3 linked regions of the Arabidopsis thaliana genome follow. The protein of the gene in region 1 binds, or shares a complex with, the protein of each later gene. Each region holds a gene or a part of one and is shown in the gene's direction. Other genes may lie near its edges.

Region 1 (7,605 bases):
TCCATTTTTAAAAATATCTCTCCCCTTGAACAAAATGACCAAATTACCCTCATCTAATAAAAACATGTAATTGGAAACTGAAATTTTCCCGCCAATTTTTTGGCGCCAAAATATTTTTTTTCCCGCCAAAAAAAAGTTTCCGCCAAACTTTTTTCCAACCAAAAAAAAAAATTCCCGCCAACAAAAAAATTTCCCGCCAAATTTTTTTTTCGTAAAAAATTTTTCCTCAGCCAAAAAAAATATTTTAAAAATCCTTGTAAATATTTTTTAGCGCCAAATAGATTTACAAGGGATTTTAAAAGGATTTTAAAAGATTTACAAGAGATTTTTAAAAAGTTTTAAAAAATTTACAAGAGATTTTAAAAGAGTTTTAAAAGATTTACAAGAGATTTTAAAAGAGTTTTAAAAGATTTACAAGTAATTTTAAAAGGTTTTAAAATCCCTTGTAAATCTTTCAAAACACTTTTAAACCCTTTAAAAATCTTTACAAATCCTATGTAAATATTTTAAAACCCTTTAAAATCCCTTGTAAATATTGTAAAACCCTTTTAAAATCCCTTGTAAATATTTTAAAATCCTTTTAAAACAATTTTAAACCCTTTAAAAATCTTTAAAAGACCTTTGTAAATCTTTTAAATCCCTTTAAAATCTCTTGTAAATCTTTTAAAACCCTTTTAAAAATCCCTTGTAAATCTTTTAAAAACCTTTTAAAATCCCTTGTAAATTACCCTTTTAAAATCCCTTGTAAATCTTATAAAACCCCTTTAAATTGCCTTGTAAATCTTTTAAAACTCTTTTAAAATTCCTTGTAAATCTATTTCCCGCCAAAAAAAAAAATTGACGGGAAAAATATTTTTGAAAACAAAATTTGGCGGGAAATGTTTTTCAAAAATTTTTGGTGGGAATTTTTTTCGAAAAGGTTTGGCGGGAAAATTTTGGCGGGAAATTTATTTTAGAATATTTTAGGCGAAAAAATATTAATATTTCATTTTGTTAACCTAAAACAATTTCCAAATAAGGGTAAAATGGTAATTAAAAATTTAAAGAGAATATAAATAAAAATGGATAAAACAAAAGGGTAGAGTTGAAAAGGGGCATCATGAAAAGGGCATTTGAAAGAATTTTTCTTGATTATTTGATATCCAAAATTTTATAATATATTTTTAGAAAACGAGTTAACCATTGTGGGAGGAAATAACTGACCTTGTCTTATATACAATAAATTGTTGCAAGTGTTTAGTTTAACCATTGTAACATTTGATTTAAGAATTATTGTTTAAATATTTTTAAACTGGGTGTTTTGGAAAGTTATTTTTTTTTTTAAATAAAAGTTAGAAATTTTGAGAAGATAACATTTTTTTGGATAATTTTCAATAATTCTGTAAGAATTAATTACTCAAACAATAAATATTGGTATCTTGTCCCAATCTTTAAGTTGAAATAGAGAATCCAAAGCAAGTAATTTAAAAAGAAAATGGTTATGAGATTTTACATCAAAGTAAGGTCATGGGCTTATAATTCAAAAACTCTTAGTAAATTTTGAATCTGGGCATTTGCCCAACCTGCCACCCCCATAGACGGGCCTGGTTTTAATCATAACTTTGAAATTATTATATTTGGGCCACAATTAGGCCATTGAAACAGGCCCAGTTTTGTAGAGACACGGAATCTAAAAAACTGAAGATGTTTCAGCGACGAGATACAAGTTTCTAGGAGAGGAAATTGAATCGAGAGAGAGAGAGAGAGACAACAATGGATCCAGAGCAAATCAACGAGTTCGTCGTGGGCTACTTGAAGAAGAAAGGATTCAGTAGCGCTGCTAAAGACCTTGAATCTTATCATCACCAGAACAATAATGGTAGCTCCTTCACTTCTGTCGATTATCATAACGATCCTGAGCTCACGAAGCTCATTCGCTCCTTTTCTCAGTAATCTCTCTCCCTATCTCTCTCTCTCGTTTCAATTCTTAATGCGAATTGTGTTTTGAATTTTTGGGAAAGTTTTAGTGTCTTTTGTGAATTTTGAAAACCGTAAGGAAAAATTATGTAAGCTCCAACGTTTTTGAGAATCTAAAAATGAATATAATTCACTTTCTGGGTGAAGTTTATGTGAATATTTCTATCAGTTTATCTGTCAAATTTAAGATTTTGATGACATCTCAGTGGCAAGAAATTAGGTTTTTTTGTATGGCTTATGTAGAGAGAGCTAATGGTAATGAAATGTCTGTTCTTTTGTTTGCAGACAAGAAGATGATCCAACTCGGTACCGTGAAGGTTACAGCAAACTAAGGTCATGGGCGTATAATTCTCTGGATTTATATAAGGTGGGGATTTTTTTTTGTGTATCCCTTGGCTGTTTTGGGTAGAGACAGGCTTAATTGAACTGACGAGATGATTCTAATTTTGTAGCATGAATTGCTTCGAGTGATGTATCCTGTGTTTATTCATTGTTACATGGATCTGGTGGGGAAAGGGCACACTCAAGAAGGTACTTGTCAATATAGCAAATTAGATGTACTGAGTATTTTTTTTACCTTCGGTATAAGATTTTTGGAAACAGTGACTTATGCTACTGTGGGAAATAATACGTCTCTTGTATTCCAGCTAGAGCCTTCTTTAACAGCTTCCGCAAAGATCATGAGATGGTACACTTACGGGATCTTCAGAAGCTTGAAGGCGTGCTTTCTCCATCTCATCTAGAGGTTTATGATAAACCTTATATGGTCATATAATATTGATAATGGATTTTTTTTTTTTTTTTTTTGGTTATTATCTTTCTTATGATCTTGGTTCTTATCAGGAGATGGAGTTTGCTCGTTCTCTTAGAAAAAGCAAGGTTAACATCAAGTTTTGTCAGGTAGACTTGAGTGAAAATTGACTAGTAGCTGTAATAGGCAACTGCTTCGAGGTTTCTGGTCTGATTAACTGAATTCCGTGACTGCAGACCTCTAATATGCTTACTGAATGTTGCAGTATTCATATGAGCTGTTACTTCAGTATCTACATAGTACAGTATCGACTTTAATGCTTGGTATTATTAACGAGCACATCAATTTCCAAGGTAAATGTGTTTCTTTCTCTTATATATGCGATAGCTTGTAGCAGTTTTTTGAGTAGAAAATTGAATCAATTGGTCATGGATAATTTGTTGCAGTCTACTCGGGACAGCCTACTTCCTCATCCGATGACATAGAAGCTGTCACCATTGTCGGGAGTTTTCAGGACACTGCTAATCACATTAATCAAAAAGAAATACAGTGGGGAGTACGTATTTCCCCTAAAGTTTCTTTTCTCTTCTATTTTTCCAGAGTTATAACATGTTGATGCCTCATCCCAGGGATGATAACATATTTGCGTAGTTAATAGCTACATATGCATTTTTCTTTTACAGTTGCTTGAAGATTCACTAGAAGATCGCCTTGAGAAGACAGGAGGTCTGCTGTCTGATTCTGAGAAGGGACAAGGAGAAAGTAAAGACGGGGATGCAGATGATAGTAAGGTGATACATAGCTTCAACTTAGTCAATAATTTCTGAACTGAAATCCCGTTTTTACTCGTCAATTGATTCTGTGTACAGAAAAGATCCACTGAAATTGGAAAGCAAGGCTCTTCCTTAAAAAAGTTGAAGAAGGACAAAGCGGGTAATGCAACAGCAAAAGTTGCACGTCTGGAGACCATTACGGTGTCACCGGCGCCGCGTGTAAAACCAGAACTTGCCTTGCCAGTAATGTACTTTCGAATCCCTTACCCATTTTTTGTGTTGGGATTTGATTAAAAAGGAATGAACATGTGATATCTATGGGTGATGCATGATTGTTTAGGAGAAATGAACATAGTCTTTGTATTTGTCAAAGACTCAACCTCCTTTAACATAAATCAATTTTGCTCCATCTCCTTGTTTTCTCTGTCAGGTCCACAGATGTAGAGCAATCCATCCTTGAAGACCTTAGAAACCGTGTGCAGTTGAGTAGTGTTGCAATGCCATCAGTCAGCTTTTATACATTTGTGAATACTCATAACGGGTAATGTCCACCTCTCCTCCTAATTTTAACTACTTATTTGCAACCTTGTTACTCACTCTTTTATTCTCCCCCAGGTTAAACTGTTCATCTATATCTCATGATGGATCTCTGGTTGCTGGTGGGTTCTCAGATTCTTCAATAAAGGTATGTTATTCTCGGATGGTTGGATACATTTCCCTTTTTTTGTTTTCTTCCTCTCTTAAATGATGCCAAGTGACAATTATGGTGTTCAGGTCTGGGACATGGCTAAGATAGGACAAGCTGGCAGTGGTATGTTAATTCTCTGAAAAATTGTATTGACATCCACGTTTAAGAATGATATTTATCTCATACGTTTCGCTTGTCATTTTTGTTGATTTCTCATAATGATTGTTTTTGTTTCCATGAGAGTTATAGACACTAAGCTGTCTGGTTCCAGGTGCTTTGCAGGCTGAAAATGATTCAAGTGATCAAAGCATAGGACCAAATGGCAGAAGAAGTTATACATTATTACTGGGTCATTCAGGGCCAGTTTACTCAGCCACTTTCAGTCCCCCTGGAGATTTTGTTCTATCTTCTTCAGCAGATACAACAAGTATGTATCTGTCCATCACTTTACAAATCCATACACTGGCTCATTAGTTCAGACTTTTTTAGTTACCAACCCTGTATTCATAAGTGCAGTACGACTGTGGAGCACAAAACTAAATGCTAATCTCGTGTGCTACAAGGGTCATAATTACCCTGTATGGGATGCCCAGGTATAGTTAATTCAATTTAACCCATGTTTCTTACATAACCTGCAATTTATGGTGGCTGGACATGTATATATATTATATACTCATTTTATGGTGCAGTTTAGCCCTTTCGGTCATTACTTTGCAAGCTGTTCTCATGATCGTACTGCACGGATTTGGTCAATGGACCGAATACAACCTCTTCGGATAATGGCAGGGCATCTATCTGATGTTGATGTGAGTGTCTCCCTCATCTTCATTGTTTGGGTTTAATTTGCAAAGGTTAAATCGAAGGGACCAATTGAGTTGTTAATTAAATGCATGGATAAATTTCTTAAAACGTTTTATTATGCAATTGAAGTCATTAATTCACCGTATCAATGTTTACAATGGTTTATCTAACATTTTACATTGTTTATTGACTTAGATTAGTACCCACTTGTTATTTTAACGTGACCCTGACATTCATAATTTAAGAATCGTCCAGTTTATAGTTGATCCAAAGATTGTTAGCCAATACGCTTAAAGTCATAAGGTTACGATGGATTACTTAACTATTTGGATTGACATTAAGTCAGATCAGTAACTTCAATTTTTCTTTGGATACCTATTGATGCGACTTTCGTTGTACTTGTCAAATGCATTTGATTTCAGTGTGTACAGTGGCATCCCAATTGTAACTACATTGCTACCGGTAGTAGTGATAAGACGGTTAGACTCTGGGATGTGCAAACTGGAGAATGTGTCCGGATATTCATTGGGCACAGGAGTATGGTTTTATCATTGGCGATGTCTCCAGATGGGAGATATATGGCTTCCGGTGATGAAGATGGCACTATAATGATGTGGGACCTCTCAACTGCTCGCTGCATCACTCCTCTCATGGGCCATAATTCATGTGTCTGGAGTCTCTCATACAGGTGAGGTGTCAAGAGAAGAAGAAAATAGCTTTATTTGATCATTCAACTTTTATTGAGTTAGTAATACACAATGAAAACGTAATATGATCCTTTTTTCAGCCAACTATTGGTTTTGGTTGATATGCTTTATCATCTCTGGAATTTCTTCTAGGACAACATTTTTTAAAGGGTAGTTCAGGGTTATGATATAGAGTGGTATGGTGTGGCTATTTCTATTAATTCTACAGTGACTTACTACTGAACTGGTAGATTTTTCTATATCCACGCACTCTTGTGTTAGCTCTAACATAGGGTTCTTGTCATGGGTTGTGGAATGTTGTATAGGCCTAATGTGTTGGGTCGTTAATGGAATGACTGGTTTTGGTTGGTAAAATCCACTTGCTTGGAATATTGGAACCGTAAACTCCACTTTGATAAATCATAGAACTACTACAATTTATGACTAACCTGTTTTCCTGTTTCAGCGGGGAGGGCTCTCTTCTGGCTTCTGGATCCGCAGACTGCACAGTGAAACTGTGGGACGTCACTTCAAGTACCAAATTGACAAAGGCCGAGGAAAAGTGAGTTTGCTCTTTCAAGTTGTATTGTTGTTCCCTTTGAATGGTAGATTGTTTTGTTAAAAACGATTTATCATTTGTGATTGATCAGGAATGGAAACTCGAACAGATTGCGCTCACTCAGGACTTTCCCCACCAAGTCCACACCAGTTCACGCTCTCCGGGTAAGTTATGCTTTCTTTACTAGAATTAATTCCACCATTCTCTAAACACCGTGGTATTTCTCTCATCCCTAAGTTTATCATGTTGTGCTTGTGATCAACACATCCCGATAATGAGTGACCAAACACTTGATTAGAACCAAAGTTTCAGGGTGTGTGCCAAACAGATTTTATCCATCAGTATCATATAGAACCTTTCCTCTAACACCTAGGATTCGTTGATCGAGGCATACACTAAAACTCATGTTTTACATTGATGCAGTTTTCTCGGAGAAATTTGTTGTTTGCTGCAGGAGCGATCTCTAAACCCGCAAACTGATCAAAACAATGGTATCAGATATTGATGCTTTAACATTCTTACAAGCTGTTGTAGATCTCAGAAGAAATCAGGTGTAGAATAGTTATCTCCAAAGATTATTTGCTTGTGGCTTTTGTTTCTCATTTCTAAATCCCAAAAATGTTGAAGATTCTTTTAATGAACAACTACTCCTGCTTATGTATGCCATGTGTCCCAATCCAGGAATCACTTATCTTCGACTTGGAGCAGATTTACTTTAAGCATGTCAAAGCCACATTCTTCCTTCTAATAAACACCCTAGTTTAAGCATGTCACCTCTATCATGAATCAAAACCTACTCGAAATGAATAAGGCAAAGAACAACAACCAAATATTCTCAAAATTTATAACGTTAATAAAATAGAAACATGTAATGAATCTCCCCAAAAAGACATCGTGTGTCGAGAGAAATCTTTCTTAAGACAGGGTGGGTGGTTATGTGGTATGTTGTGAATTATGTTTTTTCTTAGAGAACATATTTTTTAGAAACTTTTCAGATACTAACATATTTTTTATTTTGTGAAAACATTTAATTCTCCTAATTTCTAGAGACGGTACTTAAATAAATAGAGAGCTGACGACAAAAATAAAATAAAATTGAGAGCTGAAGAAGAAAAGAAAGAAAAAAACATGTTTTGAAAGACATTTGCATCAAAATTTTGGATGAGACATAAAATCTACCAAAAGTAGATTTGGTTGTGTGACTAGACAATTGTCTACATTTGGAATTATATGTGGGAATGTGGTACTCGTTATCTTCTTATATGAGATCTCTCCCGGTCAGTTTTCTCATTACTTTTTCGAAAACAAATAAAGTTAACATGATGCATATCTAGTCCATTTTTACCATATTTTTATACTAGTGTGTGCATAAAAATAATCTTGGACAGACT
Region 2 (6,490 bases), on another chromosome or scaffold:
CTCCATCTATGCCTTTCTTTGATATTCATTTTAATGCTAATGCTCACATGGAATCTTGCTTCAATTCAGGTTACTGAGATGAGATCAAGCATTTCGCAAATTGGGTTTGATTTTAAGCAACTTAATGAAATGATTTCTGGAATAGTAAGTCTCATCATTGCCCTCTAATATGCATCATTGCCCTCTAATATGCATATTTTAAAGGGGCTAATATATCTTTACTCTCTTATATGAAATTTTTACAGGAAGGGAAGATTGAAAGTCTTGAAAGCAAACAAGTAATTTGTCTACAACCATTAGATACTACAAACCACTTCACGCTATCAATTTTCTTAAAACTAATTGATCTCAAACAGATATTTTTTTTGTTAAAATTTTAGGATGTGACCCTCTCTGGACTATGGCATCTATGTCAAGTTGCAGGCGTTAAAGACAGCACAAGTACTAAAGTATTTCAGGTGAGTGTTAACTTACAAATTAAGTGAAACGTTTTCTTACTTATTTTTCACGTAGTTATAGGCCTTAATGAAAAAAATCTTGTTTCTGGCTTTGTGGTTTAGGATGTTGGTGAGAGATTACCTATTGATGGAAAACCATCCACTAATACTTCTCTCTCTGTAAGAATGCTACTATACCTTTTTCCATCATATAAATGTGCATTTCCATTCTGTTGACGCAAAAAAGTTGCTTATAGTGAAAAAATTCAACGAGATGGTTGATCTTGAATTTGCATATATTCAAGGCAATCTCTCATCAAGCTTATTCGAATAAAAATTGGAACCTGAAAATACTTGTGGTAGTAGCTGTTATTTGATGATTTCATGTCATGATGTTTCTTTGGCTTTCTAAAACTATAAAACTATGGAAACTCCAGGGTCTGCGGTTTCTGACGGAAGGCAAAGAGGATGCAAATGTAATACACAAGCCGGTTATGGCGAAAGAAATTATGGTGATGGGGGAAAAAACAAAAGTCACTGCAGCGGGAAGAAGCAGAGTTCATAGAGCGTTTCCAGGTGGAATATCTTGGGTACGGGATGTTTCAGGACTATCCTAATATTATTTTGGTTGATATACAAAGAAATTGCTTGTATTCGTCCCAAATTCTGATACTGGGACTGGCAATTATTTTTTCATGTAAAAAGAAGAAAAATCTACATATGTTATTGCATCCACCAACAATTTGGTTTGCCCCTAATTATATTTGGTCTTGATGTTTGTAAAGAAAGAGTGTGATTAAGGCTTTCACGTATGTTGATGTCTTCATTGATTTGGACTTTTGTGCTCCTTTTTCCTTTTGTGTTTGGATCAATTTTGTTTGTGTAGAAAATAGAAAGAACTACCACAGAAGACAGAACTACTGTCTTGAAACATTTGTTTCGTCCTTTCTCGTAGGATTAATTGTCTTTAGTTGGCAGAGAAATAAAATATTTCGCTCTTATTGGGCCTTGGCCCAAAATAGATATAGAGACAGCCCAAATTTAATTTAACCCGAAATAGTCCAACCGGGTGAATTTGACAGCAATTAAAAAACCCGGCCCGGCTTCTTATATTAACAAGAGGCTTGGCATCGGTTAATCGGAGCTTCTTTCCTCTCAAGTGAAGTGTCTGGATCTTCGTCGCTCAACGCAAATCCCTCTCCGGTTCATGTAAATTTCCAACTTATTTTTGTGCTCGAATTTTGGTTAACGGGACAAATTTCACACTTTTACGGAGTATGGAAGCAGCCTTTGTCTTCTGGGCTGTTGAATTGCGATTCATTGTGTATGCCCAACAATGGTTTAATTGGGAGGTTCCAATGATTTTTTGTGCTTTTTTCTTACTTAATATAACCACTGTTGATGTTTCTTCTGTGTCCTTGTATCGCCACAGTGGATAAGCAGCCTGGGGAAGATGAGCATTGTACCTAAGGAAACGGTTGAGGTAATAGCTCAAAGTATTGGGATTACCAACTTGTTACCTGAAGCTGCTCTTATGCTTGCTCCTGATGTTGAGTATCGTGTCCGAGAGATCATGCAGGTTACCTTCTTTTTCTAATCATGTCTTTGTGTTCTTGAGGTGAGTTTTCTGGTATCAGCATATTGATCTTTCTGTACCTTCTCTTTGGATGTCCTTTCAGGAAGCTATCAAATGCATGCGTCACTCAAAGAGAACGACTTTAACAGCTTCGGATGTAGATGGTGCTCTCAACTTAAGGAACGTTGAGGTACAAACTCGATGACCTATTTCTTACTTCCCATTATCTAGAGTTTTGGTTGTGTAAGCTTCCTGGTTTTTGTAGTTGAGTGACAAAGATATATGGTTTCTAGTTTTGAGGTTTGGCTTTACTGGTGCATATGAATAACACCATCTGTTACACATTGCTTTCACATATTTCACTATTGTAGTCAACTGAATCAAAGGCATCTTTTTGAGAGTGATTATATCTATTGCAGCCGATATATGGATTTGCCTCAGGAGGGCCATTTCGTTTTAGAAAAGCTATTGGACATCGCGATTTGTTCTACACTGATGACAGAGAAGTGGATTTCAAAGATGTAAGATGTTGGAAAAGCTGGCATGTTTTTTTTGTTTCAGTTAAATTCTTCATTTTGGGTTCCTTATGTTTTCAAGAAATGTCATGATTCTAGGTGATCGAAGCCCCGCTGCCAAAAGCTCCCCTTGATACTGAAATTGTTTGTCACTGGCTGGCTATTGAAGGAGTGCAACCAGCTATACCAGAAAATGCTCCTTTAGAAGGTTTGTCTCTCAATCTTATGCCCTGGGCTAGAGTTGTAAAGTCATTATATGAATTTTTCAACATGAAACAAATATTAGTATGTACAATGACGTTTCAGAGGTGTATAAACCTCTTTCTACAGTTACCCCGTGTTAAGTGGTGAGCTTACTGATGTTACTGAAAGATCAAAATACATATTTTCAGATCCATCTGTATTATTGTTTTGCGGATCCGCATGAGCAAGAAATCCTTGTTCTTTCCTATCTTGACTATATTTTTCACTTGTTTGTGTTGTCTCTAGTCATTAGAGCACCTGCAGAAACCAAAATCCATGAACAAAAAGACGGACCTCTTATTGACGTTAGGCTACCAGTGAAGCATGTACTATCTAGGGAACTTCAGGTATATGGTGCAGTCTAAATATCATAGGGTAATATCCTTACATACATAGGACTTATCTGTTGTTCTCTCTTCACAGTTATACTTCCAAAAGATTGCTGAACTTGCAATGAGCAAGTCAAATCCTCCTCTGTATAAAGAAGCATTAGTGAGCTTGGCCTCAGACTCAGGACTTCATCCTCTAGTTCCATATTTTACAAATTTCATTGCTGATGAGGTAACATTATGCACCACCGAGGAACTAGTGTGAACCAATAAGACCCACGTTAAGTTTTTGCAGTTTTAATTTTCTCCACTTGTGCAGGTTTCAAATGGCTTAAATGACTTCCGACTCCTGTTTAATCTAATGCACATTGTTAGAAGTCTTCTACAGAATCCTCACATACACATAGAACCTTATGTAAGTTTTCTCTGGATTATCTTTTGCCACTATCTAAAAAATTGTAGAATCATGTAGCTCCATTTTCTTTAGGCTTCTGATTTGGGTTTCTTCAAGTTCTATATTAGACATATTCTATATAATGGGTATCAAATGGTTAGTGGTAGTGTTTGTCCGAGGTCTGCAAGCTCGAGTGCTTAAGTACTCTCAGTCTGCTTGAAATAACAACAAGTTTTGCCTTTGATCTGTATTGAGATTATGTAAACCAGCCTTGGGATAATGAGTTGGTTGTTTGAGCAATGTTTCATAACCATGAAGCTGAGTGAACTTTTTCTTTTGGTGCCAGCTGCACCAGTTGATGCCATCTGTTGTAACATGCCTTGTATCAAGAAAGCTTGGAAATAGATTTGCTGACAACCACTGGGAACTCAGAGATTTTGCGGCAAATCTGGTTTCACTGATATGTAAAAGGTTCATTATTTCCCTTTCATGTCATGAACTCTGTGTTTGTTTTGGTTGATTGTGGGGATCTATACATGATTTCTTACTGGAGCTAATAATGAAATTCTATAAGGAAATATCATGAGATGATTATCCATAGATGTTCTGCTAAGTTTATCTTGTTTGATCTCTTTACTATTGATATCTACTTCTTTTTTGCTCGAGCTGAAAAACAAATGGTTAGATCTATATTAACAACAATTAGTAATAACTTGCTATAGTCTTCTTCATTATTTAAAAGGGTACATTGTCTCGCACTTTTATTTTACATATCTCACCTTTATATTCTTTTAGCATCTGAAATCCTGTGATTTTAATAAAATCTTGCAGGTATGGAACCGTTTATATAACTCTTCAGTCTCGTCTTACCAGAACTTTAGTCAATGCACTGCTGGACCCAAAGAAGGCTTTGACTCAGCACTATGGTGCGATTCAAGGATTAGCAGCTTTGGGGCACACTGTTGTAAGTCATTCCTTGACCTTTCAGAAAGTTTGTGCATGCTATTTCAGATATCACCGAGAAATAATGTTACCCAGCTTGTCCTTCAATCTAGGGACTTTTCAGAATCTGAGATACAATTTGATTTGCCCATACCATTTTTCCGGGTTTGCTTATTCATTTTATTGGGAAATTAGGACTTTTATCGTCTTAAACGGCTACTCCAGTGAATCAGATACCCCTGCTACCAAAAACTTTAGCACAGCTATCCTGCATTGTTATCTGTTGTCATCTGAATGTCATATATTGTGTAGGTACGCCTTCTTATTCTATCAAATCTCGAACCATATCTAAGTCTTCTCGAACCTGAATTGAATGCTGAGAAGCAAAAAAATCAGATGAAGATCTACGAAGCTTGGCGTGTATATGGAGCCTTGCTGGTTAGTAAACACATCCTTGTAAAATTTCATCTTTGTAGAATTCTCAGTGGACAATCCTTAGATGGACTTGCCCCCTTTTTCTTTTCAGCGTGCTGCAGGCTTGTGTATACATGGCCGGCTTAAAATCTTCCCACCTTTACCATCTCCGTCACCAAGTTTTCTCCATAAGGGAAAGGGAAAGGGAAAGATAATCAGTACTGATCCCCACAAGCGGAAGCTGAGTGTAGATTCTTCAGAAAACCAATCACCGCAGAAAAGATTGATAACCATGGATGGGCCAGATGGTGTACATTCACAAGATCAATCTGGCTCAGCTCCAATGCAAGTAGATAATCCAGTGGAAAATGACAATCCGCCACAAAACTCTGTTCAGCCATCCTCATCAGAACAAGCCTCTGATGCTAACGAATCTGAAAGCAGAAATGGAAAGGTGAAAGAAAGCGGCAGGAGTCGGGCTATTACCATGAAAGCAATCCTTGATCAGATATGGAAAGATGATCTTGATTCCGGACGGCTATTGGTGAAACTGCACGAACTCTATGGTGATAGGATTCTTCCCTTTATCCCTTCTACAGAGATGTCAGTATTCCTCTAACCAATAAGAGGTGAGCTATTCTATTCCCCAACTTCCTGATATTTACCTCATCGATATAAAACTCATGGTTCCAGTCGTGAATGCAATAAATATGTGAAATCAAAAGAATAATGATACTCAATACATTAATGCTAATGAAATAGATGTTTGATGATTTTCAAGCAGAGAAGGAGGCTTGGAGAGATTAAAGCGCCGTCTGGTTGGCATACATAAACTCATTTAGATCCGTGCCATTGTTCTCAGGTCAACTCTTTAGTTCTTCTTTTTAAGCTTGAGGGATTTCAAAGTCCTTAGGAGCCTGCAGAGTGGGTTGAGTTGAATTGAACCGGTTGCAATGTATATATTAAGAGAATTTTAATGATTCCGTAGTGGACTTATTTGTTTACTCTCAAATGTAATCCATGAAATAATTTCTCTTCAAATCTGTATGATCTAGATTGCAATTTTTGATATTGTTGTTTACATGTATGCTCTCTTGCTTATTTACTCTTTACATATAATATCCGTTCATAGATTATATCTATTGTTGATCCTTCTGGTCCGTTGCTAGAAAACTTTTGGGCAAACTACAAGGTTTGGTCTGTATTACATTGACTATAAAGAAGATCTGAAAGACAACAAGATTAATTTATGAGGATCTATAGGAGGATAAGACTGAACAAAAGTTTCGGAGACATTCTTAAGTTAACTATCTTGTATGTAAACAATCAAGTTTGCTACAAACCACAGAACAGCCTAGTAATCTGGTTTACTACAAAAGAAATACCTGTTGATCAAAGCCCAGACCGAAAACTTATGACCATCAGTGCTGTGGCTTATTGCATTCCAGTAAAAGCTTTGGCTATTACCAAGTATAGCTAATGTGCTCGAACAAGAGAGCTTCAGGCATGAACATAATCCTCAAAAATGTTTCACAGAGAGTAATTCCTTTTTGCCAGAACAAGACTATGACCATCATTCGACGATTTCCCCTTCTTCTAAATCTAGTCCATCAGCGATGAAATCAGTATCTAAATTTTGG
Region 3 (6,113 bases), on another chromosome or scaffold:
CACCAAGATTAGCTTCTCCGATTCCTCCTTTGTTCGAAGATTCTTCAGTCTTCCATGGAGTCGAGCACTGGACAAAGGGTAAGCGATCTAAGAGATCAAGATCCGATTTCCACCACCAAAACCTCACTGAGGAAGAGTATCTAGCTTTTTGCCTCATGCTTCTCGCTCGCGACAACCGTCAGCCTCCTCCTCCTCCGGCGGTGGAGAAGTTGAGCTACAAGTGTAGCGTCTGCGACAAGACGTTCTCTTCTTACCAAGCTCTCGGTGGTCACAAGGCAAGCCACCGTAAGAACTTATCACAGACTCTCTCCGGCGGAGGAGATGATCATTCAACCTCGTCGGCGACAACCACATCCGCCGTGACTACTGGAAGTGGGAAATCACACGTTTGCACCATCTGTAACAAGTCTTTTCCTTCCGGTCAAGCTCTCGGCGGACACAAGCGGTGCCACTACGAAGGAAACAACAACATCAACACTAGTAGCGTGTCCAACTCCGAAGGTGCGGGGTCCACTAGCCACGTTAGCAGTAGCCACCGTGGGTTTGACCTCAACATCCCTCCGATCCCTGAATTCTCGATGGTCAACGGAGACGACGAAGTCATGAGCCCTATGCCGGCGAAGAAGCCTCGGTTTGACTTTCCGGTCAAACTTCAACTTTAAGGAAATTTACTTAGACGATAAGATTTCGTTTGTATACTGTTGAGAGTTGTGTAGGAATTTGTTGACTGTACATACCAAATTGGACTTTGACTGATTCCAATTCTTCTTGTTCTTTCATTTTAAAAATTATTAAACCGATTCTTTACCACATATTTTACAAACGCGTTGAGTCTTTTTTTTATCTGAATAAGCATAAAGTGACACCACTACAACTCTGTTTTTGGTTCTGTTTTTTTCAAAAAATTTATAACACAATTAAGCATAATCAAGAACGTTCTAGTTTCTACTACCATCCACATATTGTTCTTTCTTATATTTTGGAAAGCTCTAAGCAAATAAAAAGAGTTGTGATATCTTACGGAAGACTGCCAAAGAAAACTCAACTTTCATTTTTCTTTTACCAAAAGAATACCGTAACTTTCAATTGAAAAAAGCCTTTCTTGACGGGTCGTTTGTTTTCTTTAGTAGCACTGTTTAATTAACGTAGATAATCCCTTCTTTAATTTGGTGAATTATCTACGGGAAGTCCAAAACTCAATGGTCATAAACGTGTATCAAAATTCATCTAAAAGTTAATTAATTTTTTTTTGCAAAAGTCTGATGCTAATATGAATAACTGTTTAAGAACTCCAACATTATATTCAAGAAAAATAAATTTTGATATACAAGAACAAGCCCAGTTACCGAAAAGAAGAACAGAACGGCGCGCAGTGTTTTATCCAAAAGAAACAACTACCGAAAAGAAGATCAACAGAACGGCGCGCAGTGTTTTATCAAAAAGAAAAAACGACACGGTGTTCTCGCAGAATCTCCCTTTATATAAAAACTTGCGGAATTTGGAATCTTATTGGATACAACAAATCGTTTCCTTGAAAATTCCCTCTTCGTTTTGAGCTATTGACGTTTGGTACCGCGAGATTCCTCCATGGATCTCTCCATTGTCAAGCTCCTCGAAGAAGACGAAGAGGTTAGGTTTCGAATTTCCCACTCTCATTTTCATTTCCGTACTGTCTGCGAAAATCCACGCGCTATCTTGTTCTGTGGACGAAGCTCCTAAATGTCGATTCCCGCTAATCGTGTCGTTAGGTTGACTCTAAGCATTCGGAAGATGACTTGCAAATGTTTCAGGACTCTCTGATTCGAGATATTGAAGGTTCGTTTTGGACCCTAAAATTCATATGCGAAACTGTGGAATGTATCAAAACAGGGAAATGCCTTTAGATTTCTTTAGTGATTTAGGTTCACGAGTCGTATTTTTGTGGTTTGTCATGTATCTTCATGTTTCACTTGATGTTAACTGTTGAATGTTGATGGATGCAATTAGATTGTTAGTTCTTGATGATGCTTTAGTGACGGTTAGTCATAGAAAAATATTAGAGCATACTCATAATTGATTTTGGTGCTTGAACTCATGTGCCCCAAGGAAGTAACTTGAAGTCTATAAACAATACTACTGGTAATGAATCAGAAAAACCGCAACCTCGGTATATGAAACTGCAGAAGATGAGTAGCAAAGAGACTCCTTGGGTGGAAAAGACTGTTGACCCTGTGAATCATAATCTTAGATTAGCACGAGTTACTGATTTGCTTCGTACCGTGGTAGACCACCAACCCGGCAAAAAGACGCATTGTCTTAACCTGCATTATAAACTCAAGGTGTGGCTTTACAGTTTACATCCATGAATGAATTGGCACTCTGATCGAAGTTTCTTAATACATTACGTTTCTTTTCATACTTGATTGCAGAGAAAAGAACTTACAATGGAAGAGTTCATGCGACAACTGAGAGATCTTGTAGGTGATCAGATAATCAGATCGGTAATTAGCCAACTGCCTCAGTTAAAACCGGTATTACCCTTTCCATTTTCTTAGCATTTATAAGTACTTTAATGATTTTCATTTAGCAGCCTCCAAGAGAGTTTCTTGTTTTATATGCTTCCTTCTCTGTATATGAACATGTGCTGAGAAAGAAATCTCACTTCTGAACCTTATTAAAAAGGAAATAACATAAAGAATTCTCACTTTAATAGTATAAGCTGAATACTTCTTGTCTTGGAATTGTGGCTTACTGGTTTCAGAATGAACTGTATGTGTAACCAGGGAAATATGGGGATCAAAGTACCTGGACGCTCAAACCATGACAAAGTGTCTAAATCTGCTGGTATAACTTATTTAGTTGATGCCATTTACTTTTGCAATTATCATAGATCATCTTAACTTTCTGGTAGATCTTATCTTATGATTTCCTTGTAGCATACAAAACTAATCCCAGATACAATCATTAACTGCAGAATTCACTGCTCAAGAATCTGATCCTCGTGAAGTTCATGTTAACCAACTGTCTTCTACAACTTCAGGCACCTTAAACAGTTCAACTACTGTGCAGGGATTAAATAAGCATCCCGAGCAACACATGCAGCTTCCATCAAGTTCTTTTCATATGGATACCAAATCTGGAAGTCTTAATCCATACCCAGGGACAAATGTCACTTCTCCTGGTTCATCATCGAGAGCAAAGCTCCCTGATTTCCAGCATAGGGAAAACAATCAGAATGTGGGAATAGCCAGTGTTGGAGGACCAACCAAGTCTACAATAAACATGACGACAGTACCCAAGTTTGAGAGGCCAACTTTTGTAAATGGTCCAAGTAGGGTTCAGGATGGTCCTATATCCGACTTCCCAAAGAACTCATCCTTTCCTCTATATTCTGCTCCTTGGCAAGGATCAGTCACCAAGGACCATACAGTGGGACCTTCTTCATCAGTGATCCATGTGGAGCATAAATTGATTGATCAAAGTTTTGAACAGGCACATAAACCTCGTTATTTGGTGCAGCAAGGCGTGACTAATGTTCCACTGAAACAGAAGAATGCTATTCCAATTAGTTCAAATGATGACTTGGAGAAGCAGTCTTCTAAAATGGGTTTATTCACATCAACCACTTCTGCCAGCTCTGTTTTTCCTTCAATGACAACACAGCTGGACTCTAGCACGATGGTAACTTATAAATTATACTTTCAAAAGACAGATTTCAATTTGGTTGATCTTCTCTTTAAGCTCATAGGGGGACCATTTCTCTTCAACCGATGTTGCATTTGGTTTCGTTTTGCTTATATTTTGGACCACCCTGGCTTCTATTTCTCCTTGTACTGGCTTCGAACTTTGGTTGTGAAGAGTAAATGGACTATCTATCTTACGTGAAAATTATTTGTGTACACTTCAGGTTAATATGCCTGCCCCATCTGAGACCATTCCCAAGATTGCTAATGTTACGGTGACACCCAAAATGCCTTCTGTTGGTCAGAAGAAACCTCTTGAGGCACTAGGTTCTTCGCTGCCACCATCAAGGTAATGAGCTGGCTGGTTTGTGAAAGATGAACTACTTACAGCGTCCATAAATTACTCTTCCTTTTTTCTTTGCTTTTCTGATAATATCCTTTTTACCTTACTAACAATTTAGAATTGCTAAATTGAAGTCTTATGTATTTTTTAATATACAGAAAGAAGCAAAAAATATGTGGGACTTCTTCAGATGAAAGTATTGAAAAGTTTAATGATGTCACTGCAGTCAGTGGCATCAATCTCAGGGTATGTTTACGAGTTGCTACACTTCTCATTTTGAACCTGGATATAGAGAAACAATAAACCAAATTACTTTCTGCATCTGTTCTAGGAAGAGGAAAAACAATTATTAGATTCTGGTCCTAAAAAGAACGATCGTGTTTCTAAAGCATATCGAAGACTTGTGCATGGAGAGGAAGAAAGAACGCTTTTGCAGAAAATTCCACTGCAGAGAAAGCTGACAGAAATTAGTTTGTGTTTCAACTCGTATCTTAGCTGCTTCTTTGGTCCTTACTTGGAATCACTTGGAGAAGAAGTTTATGTATGCTTTCATATATGACAGTGGGAAAAAGTGGTTTAAAGCATATAGACCATGATGTAGAGCGGTGCTTGTCTCTGGTGAGATGTTAACACCTTTTCTTGGAATTATTAGCCTTCAATTTCCTGTTTTTGTTTTCGTTTTTCTCATGGCTTTGCGCATTCAGTGTGTGGAGGAGAGGATGCGAGGACTACTGTTTAATATAATACGAATATCAAAGCAGGTCAGTCTACTTTCTCTTCTCATGCCTCCTTAGATCTTGTTGTACCTAAATCTTTCTGAAGTTACAAGAGCTTTTGCAGCGGACTGATGCAGAGAAGTGTAGAAATCGGACTTTTATCACATCTGATATCCGGAAAGAAATTAATGAAATGAATCAGAAGGTGAAAGAGGAATGGGAAAAGAAACATTCTGGAGAAGAAAAGGTAATGGTTTGTCCTGAGCTTAATATCTATTTGTCTTAGTTATCAGTAGTAATGTCTAGTTTTTTTTTTTTGTATATTCATTGATGTAGAACAAAGAAAATGATACTGAAAAAGAAGACCAACGTTCAAACGAAGTGAAGGTATTTAGAACTTGAGCCAACTACCTAAACCTTTGGAGATATACACATACGTACACTGAAAGAGGTTTATTGATCACAAGTCAGGCAAATAAGAAGGACGAAGATAAAGAGAGAGCCAAGGCTGCAAATGTTGCTGTTCGTGCAGCCGTTGGAGGAGATGATAGGTTTTCAAAATGGAAACTTATGGCTGAAGCACGTCAGAGATCTTCTCCAGGGCCAGGAAGAAACTCCAAGAAACTTTCTGGTAAGATTGGTAATCCCGTTTCTATGATCTGAAAGAGTAAATCTCTCAGTTCTGTTGCTGGTTATTCTTGTGTTTCGTGCTCCTAATTGCATATTCGAACTTTATGTAGGTGGTACACAATTTGGGAAGAACCAAGGTTTACCAAAAGTAGTCCGGTCAATCTCTGTGAAGGATGTGATCGCTGTGGTGGAAAAGGAGCCTCAGATGTCAAGATCGACGCTATTGTATCGCGTATACAATAGAATCTGCTCGGATGTTTGAAACCAAGAAAAGACATAGGACCAATTCTTTATTTTTTTTTGTAGAAAGGTTCTTATTCCATTAAAACTAATGCCATTACAAACTCCTAAACATGATCAAGATGCTAAAGTACATCCTTATTTCTTCTTCCTTTCACTACCTAAAGCAAGCTGCATGTTTTTTCTAGTTTTTGCCTGATCCCTTCGTGCTGACTCCGCCGTGTCCATATCCTCCTCCACCACCACCGCCTCCGCTGCATGAACCTCCGCATCCTCCACCACCACCGCCAATGATGACTCCACCACCAATACCTCCTCCACCACCAATACCTCCTCCACCTGACCCGTATCCTGGACCACCACCTCCGTTGCCTCCATCCCAACCCAAACCACCACCTGAACCATACCCGGCACCTCCACCAAATCCACCACCGATTACAACACCACCACCGCCGCCACCTGGACCGTATCCACCACCACCATATCCCGGGCCTCCACCGCCGTAGCCACCAGCTGTGAGTT

What was found. Proteins that work in one complex are often made in the same cells at the same time.
Region 2: TAF5 (region 1) and TAFII59 share a complex: the UniProt entries of both Arabidopsis thaliana proteins name them as parts of the TFIID complex.
Region 3: TAF5 (region 1) and TAF4B share a complex: the UniProt entries of both Arabidopsis thaliana proteins name them as parts of the TFIID complex.

What each region holds. Positions count from the first base shown.
Region 1 is NC_003076.8:8,675,365-8,682,969, forward strand, and holds TAF5 (TBP-associated factor 5), read left to right. Parts: upstream 1-1,684; 5' UTR 1,685-1,752; coding exon 1,753-1,928; intron 1,929-2,241; coding exon 2,242-2,323; intron 2,324-2,408; coding exon 2,409-2,487; intron 2,488-2,603; coding exon 2,604-2,701; intron 2,702-2,799; coding exon 2,800-2,856; intron 2,857-2,972; coding exon 2,973-3,060; intron 3,061-3,153; coding exon 3,154-3,263; intron 3,264-3,390; coding exon 3,391-3,498; intron 3,499-3,576; coding exon 3,577-3,728; intron 3,729-3,910; coding exon 3,911-4,021; intron 4,022-4,095; coding exon 4,096-4,165; intron 4,166-4,254; coding exon 4,255-4,291; intron 4,292-4,439; coding exon 4,440-4,595; intron 4,596-4,684; coding exon 4,685-4,761; intron 4,762-4,857; coding exon 4,858-4,974; intron 4,975-5,391; coding exon 5,392-5,657; intron 5,658-6,121; coding exon 6,122-6,217; intron 6,218-6,305; coding exon 6,306-6,378; coding exon of another isoform or gene 6,379-6,423; exon of another isoform or gene 6,424-6,637; coding exon 6,638-6,694; and 2 more. UniProt on the Arabidopsis thaliana protein: TAFs are components of the transcription factor IID (TFIID) complex that is essential for mediating regulation of RNA polymerase transcription.
Region 2 is NC_003070.9:1,402,585-1,409,074, reverse strand, and holds TAFII59 (TATA BOX ASSOCIATED FACTOR II 59), read left to right. Parts: upstream 1-1,543; 5' UTR 1,544-1,646; exon of another isoform or gene 1,647-1,869; 5' UTR 1,870-1,890; coding exon 1,891-2,016; intron 2,017-2,116; coding exon 2,117-2,203; intron 2,204-2,432; coding exon 2,433-2,534; intron 2,535-2,627; coding exon 2,628-2,736; intron 2,737-3,017; coding exon 3,018-3,118; intron 3,119-3,194; coding exon 3,195-3,332; intron 3,333-3,419; coding exon 3,420-3,515; intron 3,516-3,840; coding exon 3,841-3,965; intron 3,966-4,325; coding exon 4,326-4,458; intron 4,459-4,748; coding exon 4,749-4,874; intron 4,875-4,962; coding exon 4,963-5,469; 3' UTR 5,470-5,479; intron 5,480-5,634; 3' UTR 5,635-5,990; downstream 5,991-6,490. Other genes in the region: AT1G04960 (golgin family A protein (DUF1664)), read left to right, coding at 70-144, 246-278, 381-458, 561-617, 875-1,054; AT1G04945 (HIT-type Zinc finger family protein), read right to left, coding at 6,424-6,490. UniProt on the Arabidopsis thaliana protein: TAFs are components of the transcription factor IID (TFIID) complex that is essential for mediating regulation of RNA polymerase transcription. Required for proper pollen function. May stabilize the interaction of TFIID with selected promoters.
Region 3 is NC_003070.9:9,642,851-9,648,963, reverse strand, and holds TAF4B (TBP-associated factor 4B), read left to right. Parts: upstream 1-1,587; coding exon 1,588-1,629; intron 1,630-1,639; exon of another isoform or gene 1,640-1,748; coding exon 1,749-1,815; exon of another isoform or gene 1,816-2,085; coding exon 2,086-2,318; intron 2,319-2,408; coding exon 2,409-2,510; intron 2,511-2,762; coding exon 2,763-2,823; intron 2,824-2,953; coding exon 2,954-3,660; intron 3,661-3,886; coding exon 3,887-4,011; intron 4,012-4,163; coding exon 4,164-4,251; intron 4,252-4,336; coding exon 4,337-4,475; intron 4,476-4,567; coding exon 4,568-4,623; intron 4,624-4,709; coding exon 4,710-4,766; intron 4,767-4,845; coding exon 4,846-4,968; intron 4,969-5,057; coding exon 5,058-5,108; coding exon of another isoform or gene 5,109-5,123; exon of another isoform or gene 5,124-5,192; coding exon 5,193-5,352; intron 5,353-5,461; coding exon 5,462-5,613; downstream 5,614-6,113. Other genes in the region: STZ (salt tolerance zinc finger), read left to right, coding at 1-662; AT1G27710 (Glycine-rich protein family), read right to left, coding at 5,776-6,113. UniProt on the Arabidopsis thaliana protein: TAFs are components of the transcription factor IID (TFIID) complex that is essential for mediating regulation of RNA polymerase transcription.